Saccharomyces cerevisiae S288C: one gene and its partner. Changing the gene in region 2 together with the main gene of any one other region gives a genetic interaction. Each region holds a gene or a part of one and is shown on either strand. Other genes may lie near its edges. The genes, in order: COX8 and ERP5.

Evidence for each region.
Region 1: mutations in ERP5 (region 2) and COX8 together harm fitness more than expected from each alone (negative genetic interaction), as found in Saccharomyces cerevisiae (2 studies listed by BioGRID).

The regions. Positions count from the first base shown.
Region 1 is NC_001144.5:908,886-911,500, forward strand, and holds COX8 (cytochrome c oxidase subunit VIII), read right to left. Parts: upstream 1,081-2,615; coding exon 844-1,080; downstream 1-843. Other genes in the region: SUMO ligase CST9, read left to right, coding at 1-513; tethering complex ATP-binding subunit VPS33, read right to left, coding at 1,350-2,615. UniProt on the Saccharomyces cerevisiae protein: Component of the cytochrome c oxidase, the last enzyme in the mitochondrial electron transport chain which drives oxidative phosphorylation.
Region 2 is NC_001140.6:329,984-333,420, reverse strand, and holds ERP5 (Erp5p), read right to left. Parts: upstream 1,140-3,437; coding exon 501-1,139; downstream 1-500. Other genes in the region: UBA4 (Uba4p), read right to left, coding at 1-349; CTM1 (cytochrome c lysine N-methyltransferase), read right to left, coding at 1,354-3,111; GGA2 (phosphatidylinositol 4-phosphate-binding protein), read right to left, coding at 3,361-3,437. UniProt on the Saccharomyces cerevisiae protein: Involved in vesicular protein trafficking.

The DNA of each region.
Region 1 (2,615 bases), on a different chromosome or scaffold from region 2:
CGTGTTGCAAAAGGCTTCGATGGAAAGTTGCCAAATCTTGACATCCTCACGAATAATGGCTCTGTATCTTCCAAAAATATATCAAGATTATCTTCAGCTTCTCTCCAACCCTCTTCGCCTCTATCTTCATCATCAAATAGGCTTATTTTACCAAATAGTAACCTCAAAGAATTGCATCATTCAAATACACCTTTAACAAGTACCTCGACGCAGTTTCCCTCAGCTTTAGAAAAATTAAAAATAACAAGGAAGAGAAATAATACTATCAGCGGTTCGAATAGAATAACACACAACTTGAGCTCACACGTAAGAAGCAGTGGTCTTGCCTTTTCATCTTCATCGAACTCATTGCAACAAAGTAAACTGCCGAAATCAAATATACTAAAGCGGTCCAATTCAACTCAGCAACTGACTAATACACATTTGAAGAGTGATAATCATCTGCCACCTCGCTCAAGTAATACTGTGTTGGGTAGTAGCAAGAAAAACAATAAGTTTAGAAGGATTAGGTAAATAGGTGTAAGGATTCCCCGTGACGAAAACAGCCTTCAGAATAGATAGAGTATGTTACTGTATTATAAAAGTTATTCTATTTTCTTATGTGTTACTATATATGGTATTATTTTAGAAGAAATTTGTCGAATTATGTTCTTCTTAGATCCTTCTTTCCCGCCGTCTCAATACGAAGGCACAAGGAGAGGATTATGAATATATGAAAAGAAAATTGTACAAATAAATAAAACGATGATATGCGCACCTAGGAATAGCAAAGAACACACTCTAAAACGTCTCAACCAAGCACGCTATGTACACACATCTATCCTTCAAACTTATGGGGGTGTTTTAAAAAGCACCTGACTTTTTCAATTGAACATAGCAGGCAACAAATGGAACAGCAAATCCAATAGCGAAGAACCCGAAATGAGATAAGGCGTAAGGTGTCTTTCTTCCTTTGACTTTGAATGGGATATTTTCATACACACCGTCTTTGAAGTGTACTGACCTCTTCATGATAATAGGTCTGGTCATGATATTGCTACTTCTCTTAGCTGTCGTTCTAATCATCTGTTGGCACAACATTGCGTAATGGAAATGGATAACTTTTCTGTTTAGTTTGCTCTGTGGCTCTATCTAGAAAATTAAAGGATACAAAACTAATTAACCATTCTTATAAATCACTAAGCCAGCACAATGGTTTCTACTGCTGTCAGCCTTTATTTTCAATTTTTCTTAGTCCCCTAGCTTTTCCGTAAACACCGAACACTTCTCTCGTATGATTGGTGCAAACCGTTTGGTGAAAAAAAGCACATTTGCATATACAAAAAATTAACAAATCTATCATATAATAATTAAGATATAGAGTTCATGATCCTTGTGCCATTGATCAAGCCATCGGCGATGATGATAAACCTTTTATTGATACCTTTTTTACCTAGTATTTTTTGCAAATGCTTCATTATAGCTATTTCACCCATTGTTACACCTCCGAGGAATACTACGAGTGCAATATCCTCTGCAGCATGAAATGTCCCATTAGATCCGTCTATGGACCGTCTATTATTGCTCTTGATGCTTGCATTGATCTTTTTTGTAATGGTTCCCGGGACCCATATACTCTCTTCGATCGCATGTGAGTCTCCATATAACTGTTCAATTAAATCCTCCGTTTGAGAAACTCTAGGTTCTCTTGACAGTATAAAAGGCTGCTGCGAGGAATAATTATGGAACAAGATAGACCTATCATATAACATCTGAACCAGTCTCATTGTCAAGGGCACTACACCACTGTAAGCAAAAGTGGCTTCCGAGAAGTCATCGTTCTCATTTGTGATTTTATCGGCAGCATGCTCGTCTTCTATGGGTACTGTATTGAACCATTGTGAAATATAACGGTATTCTTTCTGTAATCTTGTTGACTTACTTGTTGTAATATGCAAATCAGTTTTTCCCGTTTTGCTAGTGAAAAATCCTAACTCAGCCAATGATTCAAGTTGAAAGCATTTTTCAATGCCCCAAGAGTCGATCATAAAGGTTCTTAGATATTCATAATCCTTTTCTCGAAGTGAATTTTTACAAAGAGACAATAAACAGATTAATCTGAGAATCTTCTTTTGATCAACCTCGTACTGGTACTGCAACTCGAGTATAATATCTTCAATGTCGTTATTAAGTGTATTTCCCATCAAAATTTCCAGCTCTAACTCTAAGATTTTATTGAAAGATCCGTACTCTTCAGTCTCTACCACTTTCAAAACGTCGGATGATAAGGTTGTGTGATTTTTCAAAAAAGCTTGCCTTTGTTGCAAAGAACCTAAGGAATCAACGAATTCTTTGATTTCATGTACGCTCTCGGCTTTATGCCTTGTATCATATTGCGTTTGTAGTTCCTTTGCCAATTTATTTAACTGCGGCCCAATCGACCCAAAATTTAAAAATTTCAAATCATTCCATATTTTATCTTCCTTATAATTGAAGTTCATGTCTTTCTCCTTTATCTTTATGCCAGAATTGAATTCATATAGATCATCTAGTATTCCTGCATACGTAAGTTGTGTCAACAATGGCGTTATAGGATCGGTATTCCTTTCCAAGATAATCAAGTCCATTTCTAGTCC
Region 2 (3,437 bases):
TGCTAGAATCATGAAGAACCTGCCTATGCAAATTGGAAGTCTCCACCACATCGTTATCTACTATGCCTATTTGGCCCACGCCAGCGCCCGCTAAGTAGGGCAAGGCGGGACATCCCAAACCTCCAGCACCAACTACCAAAACTTTTGTATTTTTCAACTTGACTTGACCTGCTACACCACCTGTTTCTTCAACAATCATTTGTCTTCCGTAACGTTGGTATTCTTCCAAAGATAATGGGTAGTCGCGGCTGCTGTCTTCTCTCTTGGCAAGCTGCTCTCTTAATTGTGCATTCTCCAATCTTAATGCTTCAAGTTCAGACGTGGTATCCTCGAGATGGTAGTCATTCATTGTTATTGACTTCTATTTACTTCCTTTTGCAGTCAACGGCATCAGCTTAAGTCACTCTTATTACTAAGCTAAGGAATATTTCATATCGAAGAGCTCATTGCACCGATTCGTAATGAGCGATATATAAACTCTATATAACAAACATGGTATATTATACTACCTTCTGTTTGACAAAGAAATTCTTGAGATAGCGTAGCTGGAAGGCACAGGTGCCCAGCAATATGAGAAGTTGGAACACAGACCACGTCATTATCTTGCTGTTAGCTGATTCACTTTGATTTCTGAATTCTGCCTCTTTTTCTCTGATAGCGTCTTGCTCCTTACGAATAGAAGATAGCCTTTGAGTCAACTGGCCTACCCTCCCCTTAAGTGAATTCATATCTTCTTTTTTCTTGCTGTCAAGCGCTTCAACATTGCCAATTTCTAGTTCGATGAATACTCTTAGTGTGGCTGATTTCTTGCTGTAGAATGGAGTGAAGCAAAATCTATGTTCACCTGTGTCTAAAGCTGTAAAAGTAACATCACCTGTGTGTGAGTTTTTTTGATTTAGGACACGATGGTCGTTATCGAATGTTTCATCGACAGTTATTGTCAGACTGGATTCAGGGTCCTCTTCAAACAGACCATCCTTTTCTACATATAGGTCTAAATCCCCAATCAGTAGGTTTCCCCGGGATAAGTGTTCATAGAAGCATTTGGTTTCCCCGGACTTCGCATAAAAATGGACAGCCCCTACAGCTTGGGTAATAGCAAATAATAGGCAAATTCCATGCACTATATTATATTTCATAGTAGCCTGTGAGACACCGAATGCTTGATGTGTTCCCTTAAGTAACTAGTAGTATTACACTACAAAGCTCCTCTTTTTTTGTCTCAAACGGAAAAGAATAAAACGCGAGAAAGAGACAGTGGAAAAACGCGTCAGATTGTTCTTTGTGATGCTTTTAATGTAGAAGAAAGGACAACTAAAAACATTTATATACAAGATCGTAAGTGGTACTCATCTAGTCATCCTGAAAGAAAGCCGCATATTGGCTTACCTCTTCTTGAAAAAAATCAGTAAACCTGCTGGGTGTATAATAAGAAAGATCCTCACAAATTGGGCTTGGCTCCTGCTTATCCGCAGAGATCTCTATGTAATCATCTAAAAACCTTAGAGGGGGGAGCCGTTCTGGTTCGGTGTCCAATGTAACATTCAGATCGCTGAAAAAAATGGTAGAGCTGCTATCGATAGCTTTTGCTAAGTCAGCAATTATTTCCAGTTCCTGCTGGTATAATATGCTTGCAACTTTTGAATCACTGGTAGGCCTAATAATTTTGGATCTACGAAACTCTAAAAATTTACGAAAGAAACTGGTAAACTGGGATTTGGTTTTGGTTGAGTCTTGCATTTCTTCTTGTTTAAGTACAGCGACCGCATCTTCACTGCATATATGTCTTTGCCGTACACAATCGTTTTCTGTATCTTTGTAACGCAATGACCAAGCTAGTGGCGGTAAATTTATGAAATCGTCACCATTTGACTCTTTCTCTTTAATGAGAGAGCGGTAGTTTTCTGCAATCATTAACGCATGTTCGTTGGCCTCGGGATTTATCAGACAATGGATTTTCGTGAACATCAAATGACATGTGGAATCGTACGCCCACCGAGCAATTTTGCCATCATCTATCGATGGAATGAATGGGAGCAAAAGCATATCAAATTCAGGCGTGGTGTCATTGAGAAACCAGCGAGTCTTTCCGTTGTGCTCGTATTTAACTAGTGGTACCACTGGATTTATGTGCATCCATTTGTAAAACAATCTTAAATTTGTAGTTTTATCTGGTCCATCATAGTTTCTTAAAAAGCACCTGTCAAAGGATACAGTCCAAAATTGGGAATTCCCTCTAAAATCTGGGGTGAATCCATATGTTACAAGCATGGAAAATAAATCCTCTGTTGGTGAGTAACTAATGAAAACTTCAATAGGTTTTGTGAGTTCACTTTGGACCGCTTTTGTATCCAATAGAAGTAAAACGTCATTATTTGAAGGGTCGATGTCAAAATAAGCATTTTTTTGGGTGCCTTCATGGTTGGCAAAATCTACAATAGGGACTAAAGTAGAATGGACCGTGAATTCTTCACTTTTGGTATCGGCCCTTTCTGGTATCTCTAAACAACGTGAAATTATTGCAGAATAAAGATGTTTGATATCACTTAAATTCAAGACGTCGTGAAACAGTTCTTTAAATAAATTTAGCGTCTCTCGAAGGCCAAAAATCTGTGGATAATGTCCATAATCAGTAGCTAAGTTTTCAATAGAATCCATGGCTGTTTCTACTTCAATGCTCATTAAAACATTTTCTAAATAATATTGGATATTTTCGGGAATCTCATAACGACTACGAATAGTTTGAAATATCATGAAATAAATTATGAGTAAATTTGTTTCTGTCAGGAACACACTGAAATTCGGATGAGCCATTATTTCACGAAGAGCAATCTTAATTTTGTCATTAGTTCTTTGAAATTCTTCCTTTGAAGAAAATTCGTCCTCATCTCCCAAGAGAGCCAGAAGTGTGTTTATATTAAACGTGCAGCGCTTAGGGATTCGGAGCAATTGGATAGTTTCACTTTTCAATTCATCATTCTTGAACTTCGAAGGTTCTACGAAAAGGCCATATCCACTTTTGGGGTCATCAATGGTGGATGGTTTTAATGAAAGGCTTTTATGAATGAAGATATTTCTAGAGTTCGAGTAAAAACGGAACACTTCCTCCATTTCAACTTTCCTTTTGGTTAACTTCGATTTTTCAGTGGTTATGAGGATGGCGAATTATACTATTTCTCTTTTTTTTCCTTTACACGATCTAGCATTGCTAACTACTTTTGATGCATGAAAACGCAACATATATTAGTAAGTGAAATATGTATTGTTGCGAAGATCTTTATAAGATTGTCTACATAGAGGTATTATCCTTCTAAAAATATACATAGAGAAGAGAAAGGATTGATAAGAAACGCCAGAGGATTATACATTAGGTAACGTAAAAACAGCAGTTTCTTCAGCTTGGGTGGAGTTGACAGAATAGTTGACCTTCCACTTGA